Oryzias latipes: one gene and its partners. The protein of the gene in region 4 purifies or fractionates together with the protein of the main gene of each other region. This does not show direct contact. Links are inferred from orthologs where the notes say so. Each region holds a gene or a part of one and is shown on either strand. Other genes may lie near its edges.

Region 1 (6,297 bases), on a different chromosome or scaffold from region 4:
TACTCTATATTAGCAGGGTTGAGGAATGGCATGTGCTCTGTTGCTTTAGCTTGCCGCTGTCCCGTCATCGCCTGCCATTCCCAGCAACAACACGGTCCAAATGCAGTCCAGATGTCTGAGCCATCAAGACTTTATAACTCACTACCCTCCATTAATCTCACCAAGCATATGACGGATTCTTGTCTGATAACATCTCACAGGTTCGGAGATGATCAGTTCCTAGAGATGACCACAGCTTCATTGGAAAGTGGTTCCCATACCTCTTTACAGCTTCATTTTAAACTTAAAGAAAACTAAAACTTGAAGATAAAAAGTCAACTACATAAGACTATGTGGTCATTTTGTATTTACAACTGAAAATAGTTATTTCACCTGAATAGACCAAATCACGGGTACATTTTGCAAGAGCAGCTCTTCGGAATTTTCTTCATTCAGAAATGGGAAAATGGCAACACTTTGAAATTTTACTAGTATAAGAAATGTGCAATTAGTTAAAAAGAAAACGTTGTTAAAATTAAGACAGTTTAATTTTTAAACAAATGATGAAACAAAATGATTTTTTTTGCTGTTGTACGCAACACTCATCCTAACCATTTTCTGAACCCACTAAAACCCCTGAGGGTCATGAGGCCGCTGGAGCCTATCCCTGCTACTAATGGTCGAAGGTGGGGTACACCCTGGACAGGTCACTAGTGCAAGGCAGTGAATAATTAATGCACGTTCAAAGCAAATAGACTGTTTGCAAACTTGAAGCACTAGAACATCAGATGCAAACCAACAGCTTCTGGCCTAATCTTTAATCTATCAGATTATCATCTATACCTGCCACACATGCCCTGACACATGTCCCAGCTATCTTCAGGCAAAGGTAAGTCCACATGGGTGGACAAAAGGAAAAACAATGCATGCACCTCCACACAGAAAGGACTCATCTGGGATTCCAACCAAGAACCTTTTTGAGCTCACTCACAATGCAGAATCTTCCCATTTCTCCCTTTATCATATTTCCGTCAAATTTACAGTTTCCGTAACGAAAAAAGATTGGCAGGATTAAGACACACGATTGCAACCTGAAGGTGATTTATGCAGCAGTGCTTCAGGTTTAAAGTATGAACCCCGTTTACTCCAAAATGTTACTGCAATCAGCCAAACATGTGCTATAGAGTTCATGTTTACAAATGAAAAAGGGTTTGTAAAATGCTGTTTGGTGAGTGTTGCTTGATGTAGTTGTCAGTCAGTAATGTTGTCATATAAACTCTAACTTTCACAAAGTCAGATGTTTTTATTCAGCTTACGTCTGCTGGTACAGCTGTAAACAGTCACAATGTCCCAAAAAAGTCAGTTCCACCTGCTGATCAACTTGAAGTGCATTTTTTTAATTTTAAAAGAAAACTTCAACTTAGAAAACCAATTTAGGATTTAACCTCACAGACTCTGGATCAGCTGAAGCTGTTATCTTGACAGAACTTGAGAAGACCTGAGCTAAACAGATCCATCATCCTAACTTAACATTTAGTTTGCTAAGCTCAGTCTATCCACATCTCCTTCATGCTAAGATGCATGAGAGCTCCACATAGTGAGGTCCAAAGCATCTTTGAGCCAAAGGGCCAACGGTTTCCTCAGCTGGTCCTCCAGGATCAGTCCTCCTCTGAGGAAAGCTGTGCTTCTTCATCGTGCACCTCTCTGTAGGCGCCCATGGAGCCGCCGTCAGGGTTGTAGCCCCCCACCGACATTTTTAGTCCCTCAGACAGTTTCTGGGCTGCCAGCTTGGCCTGCAACTCCTACAATCATACACAAGATTTGAAGAAAAAAAACAATAGGAAAAAGTGCATAAAGAGAGCAATAAACACTGAAATATGACTAATAATAATAAGATGATTTGACTCTTGCATTTACAGGTATTGGTCTGCATGTAAAGTCAGTGTCTGAATACTGCCCTCTGGAGTTCTTAAGGGAAAATGACAACTATGAAAAACCAAAATGAAACAAACATCAAATGATGTAGTCAGTGATTCATTAAAAACACATTTCACTAAGATTTTTATTTTACTTTGAACCAATTTATTCACTTTTATTTTCAGTTTTTTATTCAAACCTGCATAACATTTGTCAATGTGTGCTTTTGTGCAATGGCAGATAATAACATTTTGTTTTGAGACCATTTTAACAAAATAATAAAAAAGAATTTATGAAAATGCCCCTGTGGGCAAATAATGACACCTATATTACCATCAGTCCTGCACATATATGAAAACCTCCACAGTAGCAACTGTGCATTGTTAGAAAATCTTCTGAGTGGTCCACAACAAGCCCAAAATGATAGACATCAGTGATGAAGCCCTCTCAACACTTCACAGCCATTTTAAATGGCGAGTCATATTGATGTGTGTGAGAGGTTTCAGTCACACTAACCTGCTGCTTTCTGGTGTGTTCTACAAGTAAGGCAGCGGACTCTTCAAGGGTCAGGAGTTGGGCAGGATTGTGATGAAGAGGAGGGAGTTTGGCCGCAGTGACATCATCCAGGTGTTTCTTGTCCTGCTCCCTCCTGGCCTGAGCGGACAGCGGCGATGCATCTCCAGAGGGCTCACCTGGTGACGAGGATCCTGACGTTGAAACGTCACTTCTGTTGAGCAGCCTGAAAAGAGGGTTAAAACATTTTGATTTTCAAGGAATCCAGATGTTTATCCCTAATAAAACAGACATAAATGCAAATAATATATCAAAGTTTTGAAAGAAATAAAGTAACTTACTGATTTGGTTTGAATTTTTGCCTGATGGCATGTAAAGAGGACTCTCCTCTATTCAGGACAGCAATATAGTGAGGCTTCTTTGGTGTTTGCTTTTGGAGAAAGTAATTGGTTGTTGCTTTGCTGTTAAAGGCTTCTTTGGACTTTCCAGTATTGGACTCGGATACCTGGACCCTGTCCAGGGCTTCCACTAGCTCACTTTCTTTTATCTCTTCAGATTTAACAGAGGGTTCGGCAGCAGATGTGTCCATTTGTTTTTCTAAAGTGGCATCTTTCTTCGTTGGTGCTAAATCAGGTGTGCTTTCCGTTCCTCGTGAGTCCTCTCCTTCCTCATTTTGGTATGAAGGTGCTGATGAGGTGACTCCACGTTGTTGCGAACTGAAAGCTTGCTGGTACTTGGATTGTAAATCGCTCCTTGTAGCAGACAGTAAATCTCGCCTCCTCTCCTCTTCGATGCGCTGTTCAATGGCGAGACGCACGTTGTCTGCAAAATCTTGAATTTTTTTCCCTTTGTCTGGAAGAGTCTGTAATAACCTCCTAAAAAACAACAAACAATCATCTTGTAAAGAACTCATCGAGCAGTTATGTCACATGGCATTTATCACATCTCTGCCTCTTTTTCTAAAACAAACAACAACTTAATCTGTGATTTATACACAACACAATAAGCATCAGTTGATATGGTTTATGATACATTCCTAGCTATTTTGATGCAACCTCGAGGCCCACTGCAATGAAAATTCGGTTTTTAACGTGTTCTTGTGGCATTTTTCTCAGGATAGAGGACATATACATGAAAAAAATCTTGTTGTGATGTAGAAGCTACAGTCGGCAGGCCACAAGCCCCCTCCTCCTCCACGCCATGATGCATCCACTTGTAGGAGACTGGATCCAGATGATCAGAGGGGGACTCTAACATAATCCTCTTGCTATGATTACATTCACTGTTGAAAAGGGACATTTTTCGAGCAAAACATTTGTCTTTGGGAGTAACTTTTTGTTATTAAAAGTTAAAAGATGACTAAGAATAAACAATATAAACGAACATGTAGCATCTGGAATATAAAACATTCGGTTAAAGCCCAAAGTGGGCATTTTAAAATGTGCAGGTTTTACTTTTAATTTCTTAACAGTTGGTATAACGTTAACATGATGGAACCGAATGTGTTGTAACTATTTTTAACTGCTAATATACTATGGTCATTAAACAAATAAAAAAAAACTACAGGAAAATGTCTCTTTTGTCGTCTAATAAAAGGCCAGACTCACTTATTGGAGAGGATTTTTTCCTGTCGCAGCAGCAGCTCCTGCAGTTCTTCTCTGCTCTGGTTCCTCAGGTCTCCAACCTTCCCCTGACGCTGATCGGTCCACGACATTACTGATGGCTACCCGCTTCCAACTGCAGCCATTCCCACACAACGAACTGTAGATTAAAATTTGACTTTAAAACTATACGACAAAAACACTAGAAACAATTTACTAATAAAACAATCCGCTCTACGTGAAACCTTCTTTGAGTTCCACTCATGACAACATTTCAAAGTGGGACCTTCTTCTTCTTCTGCGGAAATTCAACGTCTGCTGTGACGCTCTTTCTCCCTCTACTGTACAGATCACTGTACTGCAGCTCGTTGGCCGTTGGAATAACACATGTAATTTGCTGCCCTCTGCTGGCCAAAGGTGGTCACGACTACCAAAAACGATCATGAGGAGAATTTCCCAATACAGTAAATTCAATTTCAGTTGTACAAAAAAACTAAATTTCCAACCGATATTATCGCAAGGTGAAAAATCTAGGAGAGCAAGAAACAATGAATCAAGTAATTACAATCTCCAGTTTTGTGGGAAAATGACAAAAGATTCAATCACATATCATTTTAAGTGTTTTAGAGGAAATAGTAACCATATGTCTTACTTAACCATTTTATTGAAGTTATCTTTTACTCAGATTACTGTGACAAATACCATGACTCGTCATTGATTGCATGAAGCACGTCACAGCACCAGTGGTGCCCACAAAATAATTTATTTATTTTTTTCTCCAACTACATTATTTAAAATGGTTTTATAATCCAATTTAATCCATAATATTTCATTCGGGTCAAATTGGCTAACTCTAGTTTTTTTTTTTCAATAAGTGACCAACAGATTACATCAAAGAGTATGTGTCGCAATCCTTTATGAGGACGCAAACAGACAATTGTGAAGTGAAAATGTAACAATTTAAGTGGAACAAATGAGAGCGACCGTTTACACTTAGTGGTTTGGATTAGAGGACAGGAAGACATGTAGACAACACAGGGGCAAACACTGCAACCACATGACAAAGACATTCCAGTTAGGAACTGTAAATGTATTAAATGCATTCTTAAAAAAAAACAAAGCAGAAATAAGAAAAGTATAAAGTGAGGCCCTTGTGCTATCTTATGGGGTCCAAATGACCCCACCCTAGCATTGACGTGTTATCCCTACCAGGACAAAGGTAGATAAAGGCGAAGAGGATTTCATGTTATCCTTGGACACCAGTGAAGATTACAAATCATTTAAGAAAAAACGTTCAGCGCACTGTCTTGTGGGGTCCAGATGACCCCACTCCCAATGTCAAAGTGCCTATGATAGCACAAGGGTTAAGGTCATCCAGGTCAAAGAGAACTTTTTCCTTTATCAGAGGAAGGCTTTAGTTGCATTGAAGATAAAGATGGTGTCTGCCTCCAGAATTGAACTGGGGAGTTGGTGCCACAAAAGATGAGCCTGAAAGCTGAAGGCTCTGTTTCCCTCAAAAAAAAAAAGACAATTAATCTCTTGTACCTGTTTGGCAGAAATGAATTAAACTATAAATATATTATCAATAAATCATTCTATCCCAAGAAATAAACAGCACTTTGTATTCATCTTTTCTTATTTGCTTAGTGAAAACAATGCATAGCAATACAATACCATGTCTTTTTTATTTTTTAAATATGACATTTTTTGCTCACGAGATCTTAGTTCTTTGTTATAGTTCAATATTCTGTAGATTTCTTGTTTCTTTTGCAGATCAGACCATCCCATCAGATTCCTTAAACAAAATGCTTAAAACAGGGCAAAAAAACATCCCTTTTGTAGATCCTAGGCTTTTTGTTGATCTTTTCTTTCTTAACCGGTGTTGTCGGTGTAACATTTTCCAGTATTGCATTCTTCTGTTTTCCACAGCTGCATTTCCCCTTTGGAAGGTTTCCAGCCAAAGCGTCAAACCATTTCCACCCAACTCAGCAGACAATGACTTTCACTTCAAGTTCCAGCTGTGTCCCTGACAGTGCAAAGTCCTTAAATCAGTTTTGCATGGGTAGAAAATGATTCTATAAGGATAGCCTTTAGCATAACATACATCATTTTATGAGTTGTTTGCTTTGATCTGCTATTCCCTCTTTAGTGGTCAGTTAAAGCTCCTGATTCTCTTTTAAGGTGGAGGTTCCATGCAAGTTTGCATGTACATTCCATGGACATATTTATTGAAGCACTACAAGAGGGTATTTACAAAATAATTTGAATTTATCTTCACAAAGAAAAA
Region 2 (5,747 bases), on a different chromosome or scaffold from region 4:
CGTAATTGCATTTCTATTTTCCAGTGCGCAAATAAACAGTTGTGTGCTTTGTGTAATTTTTACATTCTTTTGTGAGATCATAGTATGTAAATGAACAATAATATGTAAATGAATAATGTAAAAAATAACTAAATCAGTAAAGTACAACAATCCAAACGTTGGTTTTTAGTTGGCTGAGTCTATAAAGCGATGCAGACTAATACCTCAAACTAATACCTCAAGTCATAGTTGAGGAAGTAAAACAAGAAAACCCCAGATATCACAAAGATATATGAAATAAATGATTACAAGTGTCAAAGAAACAACAGAGACCATACTTAAAGCTTGAAAGGGTATAACAACAGAAACCACTGTACTGATTGTAAATAAAACTGTTTATGACTGGAAAGAAAAAGAAGAAACACCTAAAAATCTGAAAACACTAGAACATAACTCAAAAAAAAAGACTATTTTCACTTTTTTTCTAATTATTTATTTGACATTAGCTAATAGGCTATTGCTTTGTCTCATTATGACAATCAGGGATCTTATATGACATATTCCTAATAATATCGCTGAGGGAACTGTTGCTAGATTTTGTGCAACTGCTACATAATATTGAAAATAATGCAATTCTAAAAATATATTTTAAAAAAGCACTACAAGAGTATACCTGGTCCAAAACCAATGTGTGTTTCATCAGGATGACCGGTACACTGATTTCATTTAAATAAATCACCTCAAAAGGAATTTGTCCTTTATAAAGAGCACAGCCACACAGCATGGTTTGGAGTTTGGTATAGACACCATTTAATGTTTTCCCCACAACATGATCAACCTGGTTTTCTGAGGTACTGAATACTTACTGAATCCCGCTCATCCAAATGCTGCGGGTCTTTAATGACATGGTATGTTTGAATCTTTTCCTAACAGAATTTGCATCATTTACTTTGGGAAAGTATCTATTATTTCAGTTATAAAAAAAAAGACTTTCATCGATGCTGCAAGTGTTCACTTACTTTGGAAATCTTTGAGTAAAATTGAAGAAATTAAAAAAACTTTCCTTTCTGAATCCAACAAATAAATTTTACTTAATCGTAAATGAGTGTGAAGAGAAGAACATTCGATGTGGAATCTGCAACTTTAGGGATGATGCTTTCAGTAAATTCAATGCTTCATTCACAATAACACATTTCACAGAAAAGAAATAGAAATAATAACACGGCAAAAATACAGCTGTTAAACTTTTAATTGCATTACTTCCTTAAACATGGAAACCTGAGATTCAATAATCATCCATTCAAATAAAAATGGCTACTCACAATTTTCATGGCTTTAAATGCAAATGAAAAGCTTTTCAATTTTTTGTAGGAAAAACGACATTCCAGCCAAACATGGTTTGTTTTCTATCAACAACATTTGCTGTAATTAAAGAAGTCAATTGTAATACTTTTGCTGTGCTTCATATTTTCCTCCTAAAGAGTATTGACCTTGAGTTTAACATCATAATTGTCATTTTCAGGTCTTTTACTCTTGAGTTTCAGTTTCAAACACTTGTTTCATAAAACCGCACACCATTCTGAAATAATCACCGGTTCAAATTGTTCTAGTCAAGAACATCATCTCGATATTTCAAGCTTCTCCACCAAAGGCCAAAAAGTTATCTGCATACCTGTCCTTATCATAAAAATTAATTTTCCATTTTTTGCAAGTGAGCACAACACATCAGTTTATCTGTTGACTTAAAAACATCCATAAATGTGGTTTCTTCAGGTGTTTAGGTGACTGATTGTACTGAGTAACAGCTCTTAAAACAACCTAAAAGCAAATAAACTTGACATTTTTCTACAGCTGAAAGGGGGAAAAAGGCCCATTCTGACTGTGTTGAAAAAGCTACCAAATAACGGACACAAACAACGCTAACAGGTAATCCTCTTTGTGATGAAGTCAGAACTTAAAACCATCCAAAAGAACAAAACGCCCTCCTTTGTTCACTAAAGGCTTGATCACAAAAGAGACCTTTTCTCAAAACCTACATTTAAAAGAAATAAAATCAATCAGGAAACAATCTTCCAGGCTGGTGGGTTAGAATCCTTTTTAATGAATCCAGATGTAAAGAGTCTCATTTCTCCTTGTCAGAGCTTTTTTTTTTTTTATTAAACAAAAACCTATTATAAAATGTCCCTTCCTCCTGACGGCTGGTTCCAGATACTAGGGGGGGGCAGCAGCTGTTCTTCCAACACGTGTCTTTTGGGATGGAAGTACAGCTGGGAGTCAAACAAGGTTCTGACTTAGGTAGGGCCACACTGGAAGTTTAATGGGACAGAAGGCCCCTCAGTCGGTGGAGAAGAGGTCTCCGGCTGAGGGGAGCGGAGCTAGACCCCCGGTCACATTAGGTAGAAGCGACAGATCCGGGAGACTCTGGATGTGAGATTTCAGCTCTTTTCTCACCTGGGTCACCCGCGCTAGTTTCTGCTTATATTCCTGCAAAGAAGATCACAATACGGTTTAAACATCAGTTAAATATTACACTTGTGAATATTCTGTTATAAAATCTAGAACGGGGTCTGCAACCCGCAACACTTCTCACCAACCACAACCCAATTGGAGCCATAATGTCAGACTTTAAAGAAAATAAGGCTCTGATTAGTATTTACGTTATTGTTAATATTACTATAAATATATTTTTTATTGTTTTTGGCATAAATAAGACAAAAATAAAGAAAAAAAATTGTCATAATTCAAAATATGAAAATGTCTGTCAGAGGTTCACATGGCTTCCTTTCAAAATAAAAGGCACTCTGTTCCACTTAGGATCATCTCAATGCAGCAAATGTACATGTAGAAAACTGTTTATTATGGCATTTGTGGTGCTTCTCAGGCAGAAATTGATAAATGTAACTAACCAAAATTAAATTATAACTACCGGTAAATAAGTGACCCTTACAGTATATTCTGAAGCATAAGGCGCACCTACAACCCTTGAATTTAATAAAAAATATAAATCTGCTTTATAACCTGGAGTGACTTGAGTAGGAATTATGTTTGTACTTAACAACCTCCAGTTGATTTTCTGTGATAAACAATGCTCAAAAGTCTGCCAAAATGTTTTAGGCTAACTTTGTTAAACTGCTAAATGGATTGTTGGAGAATTATGATTTCTGGGGTTTGGAGCTTTGCAGAGTGATACATAATTTTACTTTACTACTATATAACTTTTTCTTTAATCAGAGAGCCACAAAATGAAGGTAACAGAGCCACATGTGGCTTTGGAGCCTCAGGCTGCAGACCCCTGATCTAGAAGTATGTGCACAAAGGTAAAACTATTTGTAAAGGTTTTCATTCAACATATTGTATGACTGACTTTATTTTTTTGTCTTTATCATTTGGTAAATGCAGGAACAATAAAGCAAGGTCAAAGTCACACAAGAAGCTAATAAAAATGTGTTTTCTTAACTAGTAATCTAATTGAAAAATGTATTATATTTTATCAGCTGTTATTCTTGGTGCATCCATGTATCCAATCCTTTATCATTTTTATCTTTTTATACCATTTATACCATCTTTTAACTTTATACCATTTAAACAAAAAAAATACACAGTGTGTATATATTTCTGTTTGCTAACATTAAAAAAATTGGTCAAAAAAACATATACATATTTTGTACTTTTATATTAAAACTGACTAACAAAAGGAGTATTTTTCTGTGAAGTCTGTGTTTACCTCTAGTTTCTTCTCTCTCTCCATGAGCGCCTCCTTCTGGCTGCCGATATATTCCGTCAGCATTCGCGCCAGCTGCCTGCGGTCCTCCAGCTCTGCAGCCAGCCTACCATTGTACTCAGCCAGCAGCAGACAGGCTTCATCCACCGTCTTCGAAAGCTTGTCTGCTGCTTCCTTGTCTAGAGGAAAGTAAACAATTAGGTCAAAATTTTTTTGAAAAGATGCCGACGATTTTAAATCATTCTACATGTTGTTTTGTATTAGAAAACATTTATATTTAAAATAATAGCATATTAAATATGATCTACAAATATATATATATTTAGAGTATATGTATATTTAGAAATCGCATTTATGTTATGTCCATAGATTGCACCACATTTAATCTTAAATGGTTTTACATATTTGAAAATGAAATGGTGTGTATTCATATATGCCATATTTTTTGCGTTCCTTTTCATAGTTTCCCACTAATCCTCAGGAGTGACTTATGAATGAATTTATAAAAGAAAAATATTAGCCTATACACTATATTACCAAAAGAATTCACTTGCGCATCCAAATGATCAGAATCAGGTGTCCTAATCACTTGGCCTGGCCACAGGTGTATAAAAGTCACACATCACCAAATGCAATACAAAGCGTCTGATGCAGTGGTGTAAAGCACGCCGCCACTGGACTCTAGAACAGTGGAGTCACCTTCTCTGGAGTGATGAATCACACTTTTCCATCTGGCAATCTTATGGACAAGTCTGGGTTTGGAGGTTGCCAGGAGAACAGTACATTTTGGACTGCATTGTTCTGAGTGTGAAATTTGGTGGAGGCAGAATGATGGTGTGGGGTTGCTTTTCAGGAGTTGGGCGTGGTGCCTTAGTTCCGGTGAAAGGAACTCTGAGTGCTTCAGGATACCAAAACATTTTGGACAATTCCATGCTCCCAACCTTGTGGGAACAGTTTGGAGCGGGCCCCTTCCTCTTCCAACATGACTGTGCACCAGTACACAAAGCAAGGCCCATAAAGACATGGATGACAGAGTCTGTGGATGACCTTTACTGGTCTGCACAGAGTCCTGACCTGAACCTGATAGAACAACATCAGTGTGTGACCTCACCAATGCACTTTTGGAAGAATGGTCAAAAATGGTCAAACACACTCCTTAACCTTGTGGACAGCCTTCCCAGAAGAGTTGAAACTGTAATAGCTGCAAAAGGTGGACCAACATCAAATTGAAATCTATGGGTTAGGATTGAGATGGCAATTCAGTTCATATTTGAGTCAAGGCAGGTGAGCCAATACTTTTGGTAATATAGTGTATTTTTGTTATTTTCCCACCAAAAAACCTGTTGCCTTTTAGAGGCTGTTTCCCAGTTACAACCACTGGAGGGGACTGTAGGTGTGACCATCAGTATTTGCTACTGATAGTAATGCAGAAGAAGGGCCTTCCAATACAATCATGGATGTCTTTGGGATGTGTGAATCCCATTTCGCTGGGCTTAGCAGAGTTGATCAGCAGCGTTGCACTTTTCTCCTAAAAGTGCGACTTATACTTCAGAGAGACTTATATATGGTTTTTTTTTCCTGCTATATTATGAATTTTGTTTTTGGCTCCTGCGGCTTATACTCCAAAAAATAGGGTACTTATATGACCTGGACTGAAATGTACAAATAAATTGAACTAAACTGAAAGACGCTCTGGTCTGTTTCTAAACGGATGTCGACTGGCAAAAAACACCTTCCTAGGGGTCCGACGATAACCGCATCACCGTGTGGTGATGACTCATCACCGCATGTTTGTTTTTTTCTTTTTGAAAGTTACAGGATTGCGTTTGGTGTGTGATTTGAACTATGATAAACACATTTATCTTTGCTAATAATTTACTTTTTCTACAAGTCCTAAGTTCAAACTTAATATGCTTGTGGGGGAAAAAGCCTGCATCCTGCTGTGCAAGGGAGGGACAGTCCATTAAACATCATGGGGGATTTTTTGTGTGTGTCGGATTTTAAATTAACTGCTTGCCATGTTTCAGTACTTGTAATGTTTACAGAT
Region 3 (6,471 bases), on a different chromosome or scaffold from region 4:
CACAAAGCCCTCTCCCCTGTCGCCAACACAAAGCTGCTCCTAGCATGTGTCTCTTAGCATCCGGACACACATAGATAGCACTGACGTCATCGCCCCGCCTCCCCTCTGGAAACGCTAAGTCGAATTGAATTATGCGACAATGTTCGCAGGGTGGATGTTAAAATGAAAATGCAATCCCGTCTCTGCATTTTCATTTTAATTATGACACAGAATAAGCAGTTTTAAGTAGAAATGAAAAAGCATTTTGGTGGATTGATTTTTCATTTGAATTTTGAGTCAAAAAAATGCAGCTTAATTTGTAAAATTAAAAAGCATTTCTGGTTTTGATTATGCTACAGAAATTCTTTGCTAGCATCCTCGTCTCCTCAGTATCCGCCCTGCAGCATGAACCGCCGTACCACAATAAGTAAAAAGTTTGTTACTGATGTTCAAACCTGGTAATCGACAAGTTTTAATAAGTTAACCGTCCCAATAGGGATTGTAAAGTGCAGCGCGTTTGTCTTTCTCCTTGCCCCGCCCTTGTAGGACCTGACCAATGACAGAAGAGATCTTTAGTCACATGGTTTTGTTAACAAACAGGATACTCTGCTTGATGCCAGTTTGAATACAGACCAAAAGCTAGATTCAGGACTCGATCCAGGAACAAAACAAGAGAACTCGATCCGGGAAAAATTAACCTCCTCCACCTGGGGCAGGAGCACCCCACCCACCCAGAGAGGACAAAGTACTCCTAAAAGGCTGTATTTTATAAATGTAATAACAGACCTGATTCCACTGTTAACCTTTTTAGCAGCATCTTTTTAGCATCATGGAGTGATGCTGGTGTTGTGCTTAAGGGGCTTTTCCCACTTTTACTGACGTCACAATATGAGGAGCCACTCGATTGGGTGGATTGGGAGCAGCTGGTACTCAGAGAGCAGGTTTTTGAAATGCGTGAACGGAACAAAATACCGCTTTTGAGGTGTTTTTCGTAAAGAATTAAAATTATAATACACTTCAAAGCTCAAAAAGGTTGATTTTTTTGCATGATAAAGAATACAGAGTTACACAAAAAAACATTTTCCGTTTACTTAGAAAAGTTTCGCTTTTTAAAGGATAAGTTAGCCCTGAAAGTAATACCTACGTTACAATAATACTTGAAACTTGTTGATTGCCAGCATAAAGCGGTGCTGAAACACACCACAGTACCAAACCTTCCTGAGCTTTTAGTTAAACACAACTGTATTGGGGTTTGGCTACAAAAATGACCAAAAAATCAATGAAGAAAAACCATGACAATGAAAATTTTGGATAGTATGTTGCATGTTGTGCATGTTTATGCACACAAACACATCCTAGTAATTTCACTATATCTCAATGCCACACATAAATTGGTCACTACACATGAAATTCTTCTTTAGAGGAATAAGAATTGCTGTAAACTTAAAAGTTGAGCCTCACAGTCCAAAATCTCTTAATCATCCAGACAAGATTATAGTGAATTCCTTTAATTTCTCGACCTGACTCAAGTTAATATTAAACTTTTAGGGACAGAATTGTTTAGACTGGTAAATGTAGCACCTCTAAAAAGCTGGAGTGCCTCGTTTTCTGCCTCTATTTTAAATGACAGTTTTGCTAAATCGACAACAGTTCCCCTGTGGCCTGACAGGGTTAGGGGGTCGCTGGGTAACTTTTACTGTTGTGTTGGTGAATCTCAGGGCTAAGCTAACAGCTAGCATGCTAAGGGACTGCCATGACTAACCGAGGCTAAGCTAATGGAGGTGTAGCTCGCCGTGTAGCTCTATCTATTCTCCAGAGGCACGCGCCTCTCTGTCAGGGTCAGTGGCGGTTCTACCCTGAATTACTCCCCGGGCGAGACCCTCCCCAGGCGCCCCCCCCCCCCCCCCCCCCCCCCCCCATGGTCAAAACAGAACTATGTCTTTGTCAACTAACATGTTTTCCGACATGCTCATGTTTTCCGTCTTCAATCCTTTGATTGGCACATTTTTAGTTATGACCTGTTACATTATGTTTTGTCCCCATAGAGTTGCAGTAAATGGTAAATATTCATTTTTAAAACTACCTACAGATTTATGGAAATTCTATTGGCTAAAAATATAACCCAACATTTGTAAAACAAATAAAAAATAAACTTCATATGCTGGCTCAAAATTAACCCCTAAATCCCCAGTTAAATGTCAAAAACACATTGTGAAAACGTTTAGGCTGCCACAAATGATTATTAAATTAATGACCAATCTCAAATTATTTGCCCCATTAGCATCTTATGGCAGCAGCAGCATGCTGTGTAACCATCACAGCTTTTTTAACATTATGAACTAGTATACAACAGCAAAACACAACAAAACCGTTGTGTTACAGCACAGCAGACAGACACATGAATCATAACTAATGTTACAAGTTAAGGCAGAGCAAATTTTTAAGAATAAAATCTAAAAAATCAATAAAAAATGACGCTATTTGCAACATTTGGGCTTGATAGAACGGGCTTGATGCATGTTTTAGAAAAAACATGCATCAAGCTTTGAGGGCTTCCCCTTTTCTTTATCTCTTTTCTCCTCTTCTTCTTTTCTTTTCTTTCTAAATTGGGCACCAGATGGCTTTGACCTTTTCTTCTCCATATTTTAGATGTTTTTGGCGATTGTTTGGCATAAATGTCCTCACGTCACGAAGAAGGCATCAAGTCCGTCGACTGAACCAACTGTCACCTTAGTGACAGCATTGTTTTGTGTTGCCATTTTTTCATTTGGGCATTTCACATAAAATTAACCCAAAAAAGAAGAATATATTTTTTATACCTTTATTAAAATGTAGGTTATAGAATGTCACCTTATGACTGACTTATAAAAAGGTTTTATAAAGTAGATTCAAACCCCCGCCCTTGTCCCCACCTAGCCTCTTAATTTGGAAGCGTCCCACAATTGAACTGATTCCCCGCAGCCCCCCCCCCCCCCTTTCTTCACACATTTTCAGCAGGAGCGCGTGCAGCTACAGCCAGGGGCGCTGATTCGCTACATTACTTTTATTTTTTTTATCAAGCCCGCGACCGTCGCCTCCTCTGAAAGATGAGCCAGCCAGGGTTTGCGCATGCGCAAACGCGGCGGCGCTCCGTGCTCACCCCGCGCCCCTTCCCTTCTCCTTCTTCACACACATTTGTGTCTACTTCTCAAAGACAGGAGAGCGCAGCTGCGGGGCGGCGGCGCGGCCAGGTTCAGGCTGTTACAAACTCACAAACTGTGACATAAGAAAACCAATAGTGGTGCATATAATATTTTACAAGGGCTGAGCTGCCGGTGCCGCCCCCTTCAGTTTTCCGCCCCAGGCCACCGCCCGGACGGCCCGTGCCTAGAACCGCTACTGGTCAGGGTTTTTGAAAAGTCATCTTCAACTATACTGTGACAGAAACGTTTTCCTTCAAAGTAGCACAACACGTCAAGCGTAAGCAGACGTGTTAACGTACGGAGCGTGTAGGTAAACAAGCTAACACTGGCCGGGTAGCCTGTTAGCAGGAGGAGCACTCACATTGCTCTGACTGTCGATGGCCTGGAGCAGCCGGTCCCTTATCTGCTGCGGGGTTGTGGATACCGTGGTCATTGCCTGTTTGATGCGATCCGGATGATGGAGGGAGGAATCCTCCAAAATGAAAACCGGATGACAACGATGACTTCTTGACTGCTTCACGAACACGATATGCACCCGAACCGCATGTTTCCCGGAGCTTGGAAGGTAAAAGGTTCGCTTTCCTCACATGGAGCTGGAAATGTGTGAGCGGGTTTGACCGTTTGTTCCAGTCTGACAACGGGCTCCCACAGCTCACTCCGAGGTGCTGGATCTCTCTTGGCCTCCTGTTGCATGCTGGGATACGATGCCTGCGTCATGACGTAGGCACGCGACAGAGGACACAGAGTTGACAGTTTCTCTCCACAGAGTTTTTTTTATATAACTGAAATGTTGCCTGTTCCTTAAATAAATAAAAATTATATATATCGGTCCTGCACTTAACCAACATGTGTGTGTAAATATACATAGATGAAGGAGCGATAGCTGTGTCCTAGATTTTTTATTTTTCCATATATAACACAGAATCATTTGTTTTATAATTTTGAACCAACCGTCGGGAGGTGGCAGGGGCATATTTTGGAAAATATACAGCAGTTTTGGTAAAATGTTCATTTTGTAGACATTAGATCAGTGATGTAGGAAGCTGCATTCATCTATTAATACTGTCATTTATTTCTTTTGTTATGGAATCATTATTGTTTTGAACTGTTAGTGCTATGTTTGGAAAAATGTTTATACCTAAATATTTAAATGAGTGGACTGATTTAAAATGCATTATTACTGCTGGTGGCCTTTCTCTTTGATTCTCGTTCAGCAGTAAAATGGACGATTTAGATTTATTTATGGTGTAGCTGGATATGTAACCACACTCTTCAATTAATTGCAGACGAGCAGATATAGATGAGTCTAAGTTGGAGAGATGTAAAATAATCTATACCAATCTACCTAGGCTGTGTCCCACCAAAGTGGGGTAGCCTTGACAGGGCACCCATTCTTACCGCCCTCCTTCTCTTCCCCAAACCCTCCTCCTTCAGTGTGTGCGTGTGTGCGCGTGTGTGTGTATGTGACCGGTCTAAGGCCTGGTCTAAGCCACACCACACTGCACCAGGGTCAGCTGCACAGCCCAGTGTGGGCACCTCCACAGCAGGGCCTCAGCCGAGGCTGGTTTCCCCTTGCCGCTTCATCCCAAGACCAGACCTCTACCACACCCATCCATTCATTCATACACAAACTCTCTCCACCCATCCCTGTCCTGAGCAGCCTCTCTCCCATGCACCACAGTCATCCCTCTTGCATTCAGCGCTCTTTTTACACCCTCTGTCCATCCCATTCGCGGTCTTCCTCTCATTCTCACTCCACTCACATCAGATTCGTACACATGTAAAATAATATCAATATAAAACAATATCAATGACAATCTATGTTCTACGTGATTAATCGTAATACCAGAGATGGTTGGATGAGCACGTACTGCTATGGCAAGTGGCTCTATTGCTAGAGTGAACAGCAGAGGTGACAAAGGGCATCCCTGCCGACACCCACGTTTAATTTAATAGGAGCAGAGATATTTTTGTTTGTTAAAATGTCAGCAATTGAGCATAAAGTTCAGCATAAAGATTGCAGAATAAGTTTTTAAATTCAGTATTTATTTCCTTTGGGTGCACAGGGTTGTCCCATTTTTGTTAATTATTGAAGTTATGTTCTTTTGGGCCTCCGTTTGTTTAATTTGCCAGGCTAAGATCTTTCCAGGTTTGTCTCCTTGCTCATAGAGAGTTTGATTGAGGCTGCACGATCTGTTGATTCCTTATTATACTCAGCTCCCAGCATTTCTAATTCTTTTTCAGCTTGCTGATCTTTATTTTTACACACTTTCTCCTCAGCTGTTGTTGTTCTATCTTCTAATTGTATTCTTTTTTGCGCAATTCTCTTGATTTTGATGAAGTAAAGGAAATTATATGCCCTCTTAAAAAAAAGCTTTAAATGCCTACCATCTTACACTGGCTGAAGTTTGAGTAGTGTTCATGGTAAAATATTAATCTATTTTATTCCCTACAAATTCAACAACATGTTCATTCTTAAGCCATTTTCGATGCAGACACCACCTGGGTGGATGCATTTTGAGATTAATATGCAAGTACAAAATGCTACATGGTCCGAGATTGTTATACTGTCAAAAAACATTGTTTTATATTGGATAGTAACTCTGCTGAAATTAAAAAGTAATCTATGTGAGAGTATGAGCCATAAGTTTTAGAATAACAAGAATACTCAATATCTTTGGGTCTTGTGTGTCGCCACATATCTGCCATTTTTAATTCCTTCATGAAATTCTGTACAGCATTCCTACTTCTTTGGTGAGTTTGGTCAAATCCAGATGATCTATCCAAAGAGGGATCCAAGACACAATTCCAGTCTCCTCCTAGGATACTATATCCTTGGAGTGAAGAAATGGTTACAAAAAGGTTTGTAAAAAATGTGTTATCATCTATGTTAGGCCCATAGACATTCACCAGGTTGATAGTCTCTTTTAGAATGGAACCTTGAAGAATCAGAAATCTGCCAGATGTATCTTTAATAACATTTAGAACTTGAAAAAGGAACAGATTTATGAATTAGTGTGATGACGCCACATGCTCTTGAGATATGAGATGCTGAATATAAAGACCCGTGCCAATCTTCTGCCTGTTTTGACATTATCCTCTTCCAGAGTGTGAGTCTCCTGGAGGAATTTTAGACCCAATATCTTTTATCTTATTCATAACCGGTTGAATTGTTTTTGTTTTGTTCAAGACCCTGCAGTTCCAAGATGTGCATTTAATTTCAAAGTTTTGTGTCACTAAAACGATGTTAGATAACATTTCCTGCATTTATAAACAGGTCTGAGAGGTAAAAAAAACGCACAAACAATGT
Region 4 (6,400 bases):
AGTTCTTCCGTCTTCGTCAGAGTCGTCGGTGGGCCTTTATTGCACTAGCTTTGGTTTACTTTGAATTAGTTTATACTTTTATGGCTGAGGTGCACCTAGAATTAAGATAAAGTATGTGGAGATTTCCACATTCCTGCTGACATGAAGAGGCCTTGTTCGCTCTGTGCGTCCTCCTGAATACACAAATTTCAAATACTGAGCAAATTTTGGTAAAAAGTCTAATCTTTGCTTTATATACTTTTTCTACTGGATCAAGAAAACAATGAATTCATGTTTATGTTCAGGTCAAGAACAGTAGTAAGTAGAAAAAAGATGATGGCTCCCCAAAGTAGACATATGGGAAATAACAAAAGAAAAAGCTGTTTTTGTCTCGCCTTGTTTAAAACCTTTCGTTTTAAGGAAGCCTTTTATTTTAAAAGGAAGTCATACTGCCTACCTTCTGTCAAAAGCAAAAAGCAATTTGACATTGTGAGAAAACATTAGTTGCTCTTCATGCCAGGAAAATAAATGTAAATTCACATCTATAACAAAAATGAATAAATGCAAAGCACTATCAAATTTTCCTACAGGTTAAAATAGGACTTTGTGGCTTTGAGTAGATTTTGATAAGTAATGAACAGGCTCAAATGGCTCTTTTGGTTGCAGACTCCTGTTTTAGGGTAATCTGTATAAAAGGCTTACAGGCTTCTTGACATCATGGGTGGCTGCAGAGAGGGTCCACCAGAAACATAAGAGGAGAAGCTAAAAAAGCTTCAAAGTGGCTCATGAAGAGGAGCCATGACATAACATGCTGCTTAGATAGAAAATGGGGACTGATCACCACTGGTTGGGTCGACTGAGTAAGGGGCCGGGAAGAAGAAATACCCGAAACATCCTTTGAGTTATTCACTGAGGATGCAATTAAATTGCAACTTTTCAAGGTCTTTCAATGTTCTTTCAATATTTGTTGCTGAGGAACAATGACGTTATTAAAACTTATTGAAGTTTTGTACAAATAATTTAGCATTTTACAAACGAGCTTTGTTAGAGTAATAACATAAAGAATGAAACACAAGTGAATTAAATGCAACATTTTTCCAAAGGGCCCACTGAAGAACAACTGTGTCTGGAATTTACAAAGACATATCTTCCATGCCCCCATAGTCCTGAGCAGGACTACGGGGGCATGGAGTCCATTCCAGTTACTTCAGGGCATAAACAACATAACTCTAAGCACTTTACTAGACCATCAGAAGTCTATTCAAACTTCTTAAGGGACAATTTTAGAGTAGAGTACCTAATTTACCAATAAAACATGCTTTGAACCCCTTCAGGAACCTGAAGGTCTTGGAAAAAACAATGGACACACAAAATGTAAAAACCTCACACACATTCCAACCCTACCGTTCTGAAATTTGAATCACCACGCCACCTGGTGGAGTTGCAGGAGATTACAAAAGGTGAGAAAATAATAGTTGCTACAGATTCATTCTCAAGTTTACAGAGTTTCAGAAGTGTTTGCTACCAGTGTAGCTGTGAAAAAAAACGTGTGGCAACTTCAGGTGGAGTATAAAGACTAAAGTAAGACTAAATAAATAAATAAATAAAGTAAGACTAAATAAAGTCTGCATATGACCTTATGACCTGCAAGGAGCAGGTAGAGAAGCATCTAGAGAGGAATAAAGACCAGTCACAGCAAGATAATGTACCTACATGGAAATACAAGAAGCAATTGAAACTGTTGAAAACTAATAATGCGGATAAAGAACATTTTTAGTTATAAAATAAAGGTTTGTATTTTAAAGGTCACATGGTTAAAAAAAATACAAATTTTATATGATATAAATAACACTGACAAACATATCAGTAAGAAATTCAAAAGAGAGGGGAAAAGATGAATAAAGTTAAAATGAATATCAGGGACCAAAAATCTCAGCAGGTCTATGCTATGGCGAGCTCACATGGTCTTTTATTATTGAACACTACAAATGTTAAGTTAGGAACCTGTAAACATAAATGTAAAACAGTTAGAACATTTAGAACAAAAAATGAGATAGATCATCAAATAAAGACACAAGAAAGCAAAACAAAGACAGAGTCAACTAAAAAACACCTAAATATGAAGAGTTTTGATATAATTTAATGCCTTTAAAAAAGTTGAAACATTTTCTTGCTTTTTTACTTTTCATGAATTAAACAAATCTACTTAAGAAACACATTAAACAGTGGTTTGGTTTTTAATAATTTACTTTTATGAATATAAAATTTGCTTTTGATTGTTAAAATATTTTAAACTAAATTTAACAGACTGTTATGTGAAATTACACCAAAAAGAATGTTGTTCTTTTTTAATGAGACTTGAACAGAGGAATTTGAACACCACAAATGAAACTCATCCCCAAAAAGATTCAAAGTACATGCAATCAACAAGCAATTTCAACACAAAAATACAATTGTTTTCTTTAAATCTTTAACTTTAACATTTATTTACAAGGAAATAAATTATTTATTACAAGGGCATATATGACTGAACAGTTCTATCGTTGTGTTTGAGGGGAGTTCCTACACTTCATCTTCCAGGACAGTAGGTAGCAGAAGCGCACCATTATTGCTAGATGACACCCGCCTAAACCAGAAGAAAGCAGAGGAAGAATATCACCGGAAGTAGATCGGTGTTGTGACCGGAAGTTCCCCGAGCGCCGTTGTTCTCTGCACAGTTAACGTTCTCACCGTAGTCTCCGAGAGAAGCTGACGGAGCTCATCGGTACTGCGCGCCTCTGCGACCCGTGACTGTGACTCGACATGACTGCCGCTGGAAGCTCGGTTTCCTCGCACGTGGGAGACGTCGAAGAAGACGCGTCACAGTTGCTGTTTCCCAAAGGTGGCGCGCACAAATACTGTTTACTTCCGAAACTTTTTGTTAGGTTACAGTGTAACCTGTATTGGAAACAATTACGTTGCTATATGTGACCGATGAGGATAATCATCCCCTGATTATTAATTTATGTAAGCTGCATCACCGATTTGAATCTGAATATTTTCATTATACGACCATCATCATCTGTACTGGTTAAATGTTTCTCTCACTGACACACATGTATTGTGATCATCATGATGTTTGGTCCACTGATCAAGATAGAATTATTTGTTTGTTTGCTGAGAGTAAACTATAAGTTTAAATTTACATGGATTGCTGTCCTGGAAGGTCTGAGACTCAACAAGCTTCCTAAAATAGTACAGGCTGACTTTGATCAGCAGGATTTTTGTCCTACTTCTTGAAACAGGCCTTAAATTCCAGTCCACAATCACTGCAGGAATCCTTCTGTCTTTCAATCAAAATGGTTCTGGAGCTGATATTCTGTAGAATCTGAGCTCAAATTCAGTGACTAACCAGCCCCCTCCTGCTGTCTGCAGAGTTTGAGAACTCTGAGACGCTGCTGAACTCGGAGGTCCACATGCTGCTGGAGCACAGGAAGCAGCAGAACGAGAGCGCCGAGGACGAACAGGAGTTGTCCGAGGTCTTCATGAAGACTCTCAACTACACGGCCCGCTTCAGCCGCTTCAAGAACCGCGAGACCATCACTGCCGTGCGCAGGTAAGGATGCCCCTTCTGGTCCCAGGTCCTGGCCCTGATCTGGGTCCTAATGGCCTTTCTGTCTGTCTCAGTCTCCTCCTGCAGAAGAAGCTCCATAAATTTGAGCTGGCCAGTTTGGCGAATCTGTGTCCTGAAGCTGCAGAGGAGGCTAAAGCTCTGACCCCCAGGTGAGTCTGGACTGAACCGGACTTGTTCTTTTCACCCATAAATTACAGGGTCTTCGTTAACCAATCTGTGAAAAGATTCACCTGACATCAGATTATTCTGAACACCTTAGTGATTTTAGGATTTTTGGGAGGCTTGACTTTTTATTTTATTTTAACACTTTCAGTAAATTGAGTAAAAGTATAAGTTAGTCTGGATGCCAAGGAGATTTATTTAGTAATGTCGAAGTAACACTATTTTACATTAAGGGCAGACGTGTGCAGCTTTAATTGAATTAATTCAAAGAGAAAACCTGAGAGATTATCCTAAACTGGATCAGAAAACATTTTGGATCAATTCATCACAGACATGTAGTTTTATGCTGTTCTTACTTGTCAGGAATTGGTTTCTTGTTGAAATTATTATGCATTAAAAAATAGCAGATAAGTTATTTTAGATTGTTTAGTGATCATTATTTTTGTGAAAATATACAGTGGTGGACAAAATTGTTGGTACCCATCAGTTATAGAAACAAATTCCAGAATTCTCACTAAAATGACTTGAAATGTTCAAAAGTAACAATAAATTAAAATTTAATGAAAATGAAATAATCAAAATCAGCTTTTTAATTTGTTGATTGACAGAATTATTTAAAAAAAAAAAAAAGCTAATGAAATAGGGTTGGCCAAAAATGATGGTACCTCCATAACAGACTGAGAACTAATTGCCCAGGGGGTCATGATGAACTCAGGTATGTCCTTAAATTGACATCATAGCTGTCTTCAAACTCATAATCAGTCAGTCTGTCAACAATTTTGTCCACCACTGTATCTTACTGAGATATGGATCGTTTTGCAGGTGATGTTGTTACAATTCTTATCAAATAATTCATCGTTGAGAGAATAAAGTTCTGCCGGGTTCTGCTTCTTTTCTCAGTCTGGAGGGTCGCTTTGAGGATGAAGAGCTGCAACAGATCCTGGATGACATTCAGACCAAGAGGAGCTTCCAGTACTAAGACCAGGACCAGCAGCTGGACCTGAGACCTCCAGAACTCTCCTTAACAGAGGCAGCGTGGTTCACGTTCCACCGGGACCAGAAAAATCACAGAACATTTAATCCACCCACCACCCAGCAGAATCTTGATGTACTTTAAAGGCACACAAGATGCTGTTTGTGTGTCTGATTCTATCCGGTCTGTGGAAAATCCAGCACATGTTGATAAGAAAACTGTATCTGTGCTCTGCTCCTTCGGGTACCTATGGGCAGAAACTCAAATCCATCATCAGTGAGCTTATCCCGAACACCGCCCACTCGTACTGCCAGCTCAGACCTGCAAGACCACCTTCGAGTCAGAGTCCACGCAAAATTGATTCCCAACAGAACCTTCTTGTCCCAGGAGAACCCCTTTTAGTGCTTTTGTGTGGTTGTCTGTCCAAACCGCTTATTAGGAGCGGAACAGGGAACTGGATTTATTGTGTTGATTGAAAATAAAAATTTAAAAAAACTACACCAAGGAACAACCAAGCAAAGTTTGTAAAGCTCTTTTAACAAAAAGAATCACAAAGTGAGAAGGAGAGCCGGTGGACCATAGGGACAGAGGCAGGGAGGGATCTCATCAAATCTTCCAATCTTTATTACAGCTAAAGGGTAGGTAGGTGGTGAAACAGGAAAAGATGCAGCAAATGAATCACAGGTGCTGTCATTCCCTTCTCCACCAAGGATTCCTAGATGGATTGCTGTCCATTAAAAAAAAAAAGTTATATACACAATATAAATTAAAAAATGTAAAGACGTGATATAGCATCAGTATTAGCATTGGCCCCAGGGACACAGCAGGGAGAGAATTGGGGGGTACATTTTAAACTGTTCTTCTGAACACTCACTACGGTCCATGACTCATCTAAGTGGGGTTCGAACCAACATTTTCAGAGGAATAAGACTTGAATGCCATCAGTAACTGAAGCTTTACCATTGGAACAATAAAGTTAAATTTGAAATAAAAAAACGGCCAGCATTGGGTAAGACTAACTACAACATTGTTTCCTCTTGTTTGAAGAAGTAATTTCAAAAATGCGTTTTTAATTATTTATATTTACATTACAAAATAAAATTCCAACGTTTAAGTTATGTCCTATTTGCCAGCTGTCGAGCTAATGCTGTTTTCACAGTGTTCACTAAAGTCTTATTTTGGTAATGTTTGGCTCATCGATGAAGGAGAGATTTTTGATGTTTACTGACTACTGACTTCTAAAAGATCGCGATGCACAAGCGTGATGCCTAAAAAGACATTTGTCAGAAGTGGGATTCGAACCCACGCCTCCAGAGGAGACTGCGACCTGAACGCAGCGCCTTAGACCGCTCGGCCATCCTGACATCTTGTTTACGCACCAACATTTCTGTATAAAGAACATCTCCAAAAAAATCTAGGGTCGGAGGAAGTTACTTATTAGAGCCTCTAGACCAGGTGTCTCAAACTCGCGGCCTGCGGGCTATTTGCGGCCCCCAAGATGATATTTTGCGGCCCCCACCTTAATATGAACGTTTAATTTTAGTTTTCTTTTTTTAACTTTAGCCTCCTCTGGGCATATTTATTAACCATTGACTGAGCACGGAACAGGAACGTCTCTCTCGTACATTTTTTTTTATACTTTATTGACAAACAACACAATACAATAACATTGT
Region 5 (5,408 bases), on a different chromosome or scaffold from region 4:
TGCCTGCTAACGTTTTATTTACACTAACAGTTAATGTTTTTATGCTGACTGTTATTTGCTTTGACTATTTATAAAATCTTGGAAAAGTTTTCTTTGTAGAATAGTTTGGAATGTGATCCTCAAGCTTCTTCAGCAGCAGCATTCCTGTGTTCCTTTAAAATAAATACTAACTAAGCAAACTGAAGAGGAGCCATAAATGTTCTTCAGTCGAGCATCAGGTGAAGATTTCCCAGCTGGGGAAATTCAAAGCCCTCCGTTTGCCAAGTGTGTGTGTTAAAACCGGGTGTGTGTCCTCCTCCAGGCATCACGGATCTGCAGAGGAGCAATCAGGCCGAGATAAGGATGTGTGTACTCAGACGGGAGCAGCACGGAACTGTTCATGAACTGCCAGTAACACGTGAACACACACCATATGGCGAGTGCAAAACAATGATCAGTGTCGGCAAAAACAGGATTCAGCAGCCCGGAACGCTTTGGATTTCTGCTTCCAACACAGGCGAGACCTCAGACTTACACATGCAGCAGCACCACTGCTATCAGGGTCCACTCCGGGCTTTTGTGAACGATGTTGGTGTTGGTGAACCTGTCAATAAAAAACACAGGGATAAGCTCAGCAGCAACGCATCAACACACACAACAGCAAGAGAGTGAAGTGCAGGAAAAGCAGGAACAGCAGAGTGAACAGTAGCTACAGCATAGTGATGCGCAGGAAGAGCAGGAACAACACAGTGATCAGCAGGAGCAGAAGAGTGAAATGCAAGAACAGCAGAGTGAACAGCAGGAACAGCAGAGTGAACAGCAGGAGCAGAAGAGTGAAATGCCGGAACAGCTGATTGAACAGCAGAAACAGCAGAGTGAACAGCAGGAACAGCAGAAACAGCAGAGTGAACAAAAGGAACAGCAGAGTGATGTGCAGGAAGAGCAGGGACAACAGAGTGAACAGCAGGAGCAGAAGAGTGAAATGCAAGAACAGCAGAGTGAACAGCAGGAACAGCAGAGTGAACAGCAGGAGCAGAAGAGTGAAATGCAAGAACAGCAGAGTGAACAGCAGGAACAGCAGAGTGAACAGCAGGAGCAGAAGAGTGAAATGCAAGAACAGCAGAGTGAACAGCAGGAGCAGAAGAGTGAAATGCCGGAACAGCTGATTGAACAGCAGAAACAGCAGTGAACAGGAGGAACAGCAGAGTGAACAGCAGGAACAGCAGAGTGAACAGCAGGAGCAGAAGAGTGAAATGCCGGAACAGCTGATTGAACAGCAGAAACAGCAGAGTGAACAGCAGGAACAGCAGAGTGAACAAAAGGAACAGCAGAGTGATGTGCAGGAAGAGCAGGGACAACAGAGTGAACAGCAGGAGCAGAAGAGTGAAATGCAAGAACAGCAGAGTGAACAGCAGGAACAGCAGAGTGAACAGCAGGAGCAGAAGAGTGAAATGCAAGAACAGCAGAGTGAACAGCAGGAACAGCAGAGTGAACAGCAGGAGCAGAAGAGTGAACAGCCGGAACAGCTGATTGAACAGCAGAAACAGCAGTGAACAGGAGGAACAGCAGAGTGAACAGCAGGAACAGCAGAAACAGCAGAGTGATGTGCAGGAAGAGCAGGGACAACAGAGTGAAATGCAGAGTGAGCAAAAACAAAAAATCAAAACCAATAAAATACAATTATTATTTATTTTTTCCTGTTTTTTCCCAGTTTGCTGTCAGTCATTAGTTTAAGCTCTGTCCATCTCTAAAGGGGGAATTCTGGCCCCCTCTAACGGTCCTGTGACGGTGAAATGACGGACCCGCTGTTGTTACCTCACCTTGTTCAACCACAGCCTCCTGTTTACAGCAGCTTTATGTTCTATTGGGACAACAAAGGTCAGACGATGTGAAGATCCAGTCTGTGAGTCTCAAACCCAGCAGGTCTGCTGCTTCCTCTGGGAGAAATGTTCTTCAGAGACCCAACAAAGACCGTCTGCTCACACAACACAGGACTATGTCATCATTAAGATTCTTCTCCATCGCTGATGGGATTCTCAAAAACTTCAATGCAGCGGCACTTGTCTGTGGACGTGCTCGGCCTTCGCTGGTTTAACCACAGCCTGCTCGCTCTCCTCTGGGGTCAGAAACAGCAGGTCAGAGCTCTGAACGATCACTGACTGACCTTCTGCACTAAAGTCCATCACAGGCTCCTCACAACATACATGCAGATGTCTGCGCAGAAGAAAGACAAACTGAAGGAAAGGGGATGATAATAAAAAAACATCTCGGGGTTCCATCTGAAGATCCTCTCTGAGAACACAAAGGCTCAAAGTCTGGAAAACCTCTTAAAGTTTTCCAGACTTTGAGCCCCCCCAGAGCAGCTAACAGACTGGTTTTGTGTCCAATTCTAGCAGGTGAGTTTCTAAACTTCTATTCTGCCCCTAAACATGAGGAGGAGGGGCTTGACATTTGTCCGTTCATCTCTCTGAACCAAAAGAGACTAACTCATCTGTTTCCAGAAAAAGTCATCGTGTAAAGCAGGGGTGTCAAACTCATTTTGGTTCGGGGGCCGCATTCAAGCCGTCTGATCTCAAGTGGGCCGGACCACTAGCATAAAAACAAAATAACAGCTTTGTATTTGATTTTTTACTCAGTTTACCAACATCACCAACCTAATCACTTATTATTACACATTCATTCACAGAGGCCAATGGATCTCAAATAAAATGAATTTCTCTTAAAAGAAAAAGGTCTATTCAGTTTTGTACTGACTTAATATTTTACATCTGACACTGAAGCAATCCCGATAATAACCTCAAGAGGGGCTACGCAAAAAAAGTGAAACACCCTGCCTAAAAAGAAAACTGTCCATTTTTCCTGGAAAGCTCAGCAATCCACTTCTTTTGGACAACATTTTGGTCATTATTGTGTCACTACTGTTCATTCTTATAGCAACACAACAGCTTTGAGGCTCGCAGGGAAACAAACTGCATCTTACCCAGAAGAAGAACTGTTAGGTTTCACCTTTGGCATGCGCAAACATATGTTTCACCTGTTTTGCTTTTCCTCCCCCCCCCTAATGGCAGAATTGCGCATTTCGGTTATTTCTTTAAAAAAATCATAACTCGCCACAGGAATGGACTAGACACGTGCTTTCTTTTTTAAACATGCTTAAGATTTTTGCTCATCATGTGGGCCAGACTAAACCACCTGGCGGGCCGAATATGGCCCGCGGGCCGTATGTTTGACACCCCTGGTGTAAAGGTTTGGGGGGCTCCCGTCAACCTGTGGTTCTTCAGCCCCCCCTGGAGGTCTCTAACTGATATGTCTGAGCCAACCACATGGAAACCACGACGCTCTCCTGGGCTTTCTCTTATTCTTTGAGGATAATGAGTAGGGTCGGTGCTGCTCTGTGGGACGTTCATGCAGGACTCGGGCCTCCTCAAGTCTCATGATGATGGGGAGCAGGAATGGAAGGCTGCAGCGCGCAGGATGATCTGGAATGGACGAGAACGGTGCATATGTGCAGGTCACCCACCTGAATGTCTTCACCAAGTCGTTCAGGTCTGTGGAGACATCACTCAGGGTGAGGTGCAGCGGGCCTACGATGGTCCTGAGGCTGCAGATGACAGGAGCAGATTGGTTATGGAGCAAAGCAGCAGGCAGGCAGGCGGCTGGACAAATGTCCGGACTTCTATAATAAATATAATATGATCAAACGTCACAGGAGTCTGGACTCCTGTGAAACAGAAGATGTTTGGGGGAGGCAGAGGTTTAGATGAAGACGTTCATGTCTGACACATCTGCACGCACCAGCTGCTGAGCTTCTCCACGGTGATGCGTTTCTGGATCAGATGCTGAGCCTGGGAGTCCACGAGCGGCAGGACCGGTTCCTTCAGGTTCTGCTGTGAAGAACAAACCAGGACTATTTCAACTTGCTCTCAGCATTTTATTTGACTGAACAGAGGTCTGATGGGAGGTCCACAGGGACCCCCCCCCCTCACCTGGTTAGCACTCGGCTCCTCCACAGGAATAACCCAGGTCCCCTTGTAGAACTCCTTGACTCTCAGCTCCATCTGTTGGGTCAGCCTCTGCAGCGTCTCATAGTCTCCTTCTGTCCCCCACAGCTTCTTCTCCCCGCTATCGTCCGTCAATATCACGTCATCTGCATCATCATCTTCATCCAACTCCCCCTCTTCCTTTCTGTTATGATGACGGGGGGCAGGTGAGCAGGCGGCTCCGTGCAGGAACCTGATGGTGTGATCGGTGCACCAGGCTTTCAGAGTCCTCCTCAGGGTCTCCAGGAGGCTCGCTGGCTCCCGTTTGGCTCCCGTGCAGCTCTGCCTCCCCAGCAGAGCCCGCAGCCCTGCAGCTCCTCGCCTGCTCATGCCCACCTGGGTGATGTGGAGGCCCGGCAGGGGGGCTGCTGCTGTCTCATGAAGAGTGCACTCCCTCATCTGAGCTGTTACCTCTTCCAGTTGGGGGCGCTCAGGTGAGTCCTGTGGCTCAGCCTTGCTTGTGATGGGACCGAGCAGCTGTGGGGGTTCAGGATGCGGCCCCCTCGTGTCCTCCTGTGGAAGGCGACTCAGACATTCAGTCCCGTCCGTCCCCTCCTCTCCTTGGCTCCCGTTCTTGCTTTCACCCGTGCGGTCAGCCCAGTGAACCCGGGGTTTCTGCTGCTGGAAGGCCACACTGGAGACAAAGTCCTGCTCCCCACCGCTGCTCTCATCTCCAGCCGAGCTTTGATGATCCCCGCATGGCTCAGCGGGGGCGGCAGCTTGTGGTTTCTCAACGTCTTCCTCTTTGAGGCGCTGATCTGACAGCAGCACCTCCTCTCCGGAGCTCCCACTGGACACACACATGCAACACGTTACGCTCACTCCTGCAGAGGGACGTGCGGCCGCGGGCGCCGAGCACACACCTCTGTCCTGCCGTCAGCAGCCTGATCTTCGGGGGACTGTTGGCAAGAGAGAATTTTTACAAAGACACTCCACCCGAACGTCGAGTCTTACAAAGGCGGAGCAGTTCACAGACCTCTCCAACTTCCTGAGCCACAGAGGCGTCTTTGGGATCTGCAGCTCAAACTCTTTGGAGGCCTTGTAGCAGAAATTACTGCAGAAACGCTAAAGATGACAAATGAGGTCACCTCTTCTGTCTTCAAACTGCGACTGCACTGACAAAGTTCGTTCTTCTTCTGGGAAGAAACTCACCTTGCGCTCTGTGATGTCATAAACTCTGTTCGTCTTGGTAGAGATTTTGAACTGCTGAGACGGGATCTGCAAAGCAGGCAGCAGCGGTTAGACGAGGAAACCCAGACAGGAGCGTCAGCATTACCCTCAGTGGAGGGGCGACGTCTTACTTTGCCCAGCTGCTTTGGACATGTTGGATAACCACACAGCTTTAAGATGGACCGCTCCTCCACAGCATCTCTGTAATTAGCTGGAGTG

What was found.
Region 1: the proteins of polr2d (region 4) and polr2m purify together in Homo sapiens (affinity purification with mass spectrometry; 3 studies listed by BioGRID and IntAct, counting the BioPlex papers as one, with this or other methods). This does not show direct contact. The link is inferred for Oryzias latipes from reciprocal best matches to the Homo sapiens genes POLR2D and POLR2M.
Region 2: the proteins of polr2d (region 4) and rprd1b purify together in Homo sapiens (affinity purification with mass spectrometry; 3 studies listed by BioGRID and IntAct, counting the BioPlex papers as one, with this or other methods). This does not show direct contact. The link is inferred for Oryzias latipes from reciprocal best matches to the Homo sapiens genes POLR2D and RPRD1B.
Region 3: the proteins of polr2d (region 4) and mediator of RNA polymerase II transcription subunit 26 purify together in Homo sapiens (affinity purification with mass spectrometry; 3 studies listed by BioGRID and IntAct, with this or other methods). This does not show direct contact. The link is inferred for Oryzias latipes from reciprocal best matches to the Homo sapiens genes POLR2D and MED26.
Region 5: the proteins of polr2d (region 4) and rpap2 purify together in Homo sapiens (affinity purification with mass spectrometry; 5 studies listed by BioGRID and IntAct, counting the BioPlex papers as one, with this or other methods). This does not show direct contact. The link is inferred for Oryzias latipes from reciprocal best matches to the Homo sapiens genes POLR2D and RPAP2.

Annotation. Positions count from the first base shown.
Region 1 is NC_019861.2:21,377,470-21,383,766, forward strand, and holds polr2m (protein GRINL1A), read right to left. Parts: upstream 4,367-6,297; 5' UTR 4,256-4,366; intron 4,171-4,255; 5' UTR 4,124-4,170; coding exon 4,017-4,123; intron 3,285-4,016; coding exon 2,751-3,284; intron 2,636-2,750; coding exon 2,413-2,635; intron 1,782-2,412; coding exon 1,638-1,781; 3' UTR 1,263-1,637; downstream 1-1,262.
Region 2 is NC_019865.2:7,639,039-7,644,785, forward strand, and holds the end of rprd1b (regulation of nuclear pre-mRNA domain-containing protein 1B), read right to left. Parts: intron 3,880-5,747; coding exon 3,704-3,879; intron 2,464-3,703; coding exon 2,314-2,463; 3' UTR 1,211-2,313; downstream 1-1,210. UniProt on the Homo sapiens protein: Interacts with phosphorylated C-terminal heptapeptide repeat domain (CTD) of the largest RNA polymerase II subunit POLR2A, and participates in dephosphorylation of the CTD by RPAP2. Transcriptional regulator which enhances expression of CCND1.
Region 3 is NC_019875.2:6,541,296-6,547,766, reverse strand, and holds the start of mediator of RNA polymerase II transcription subunit 26, read right to left. Parts: upstream 3,881-6,471; 5' UTR 3,595-3,880; coding exon 3,523-3,594; intron 1-3,522. UniProt on the Homo sapiens protein: Component of the Mediator complex, a coactivator involved in the regulated transcription of nearly all RNA polymerase II-dependent genes.
Region 4 is NC_019878.2:10,413,569-10,419,968, reverse strand, and holds polr2d (DNA-directed RNA polymerase II subunit RPB4), read left to right. Parts: upstream 1-2,645; 5' UTR 2,646-2,781; coding exon 2,782-2,860; intron 2,861-3,393; coding exon 3,394-3,574; intron 3,575-3,645; coding exon 3,646-3,741; intron 3,742-4,654; coding exon 4,655-4,733; 3' UTR 4,734-5,238; downstream 5,239-6,400. UniProt on the Homo sapiens protein: Core component of RNA polymerase II (Pol II), a DNA-dependent RNA polymerase which synthesizes mRNA precursors and many functional non-coding RNAs using the four ribonucleoside triphosphates as substrates.
Region 5 is NC_019875.2:5,937,777-5,943,184, reverse strand, and holds part of rpap2 (putative RNA polymerase II subunit B1 CTD phosphatase RPAP2), read right to left. Parts: coding exon 5,321-5,408; intron 5,238-5,320; coding exon 5,172-5,237; intron 5,085-5,171; coding exon 4,996-5,084; intron 4,919-4,995; coding exon 4,883-4,918; intron 4,810-4,882; coding exon 3,966-4,809; intron 3,867-3,965; coding exon 3,775-3,866; intron 3,581-3,774; coding exon 3,500-3,580; intron 584-3,499; coding exon 515-583; intron 313-514; coding exon of another isoform or gene 204-312; exon of another isoform or gene 1-203.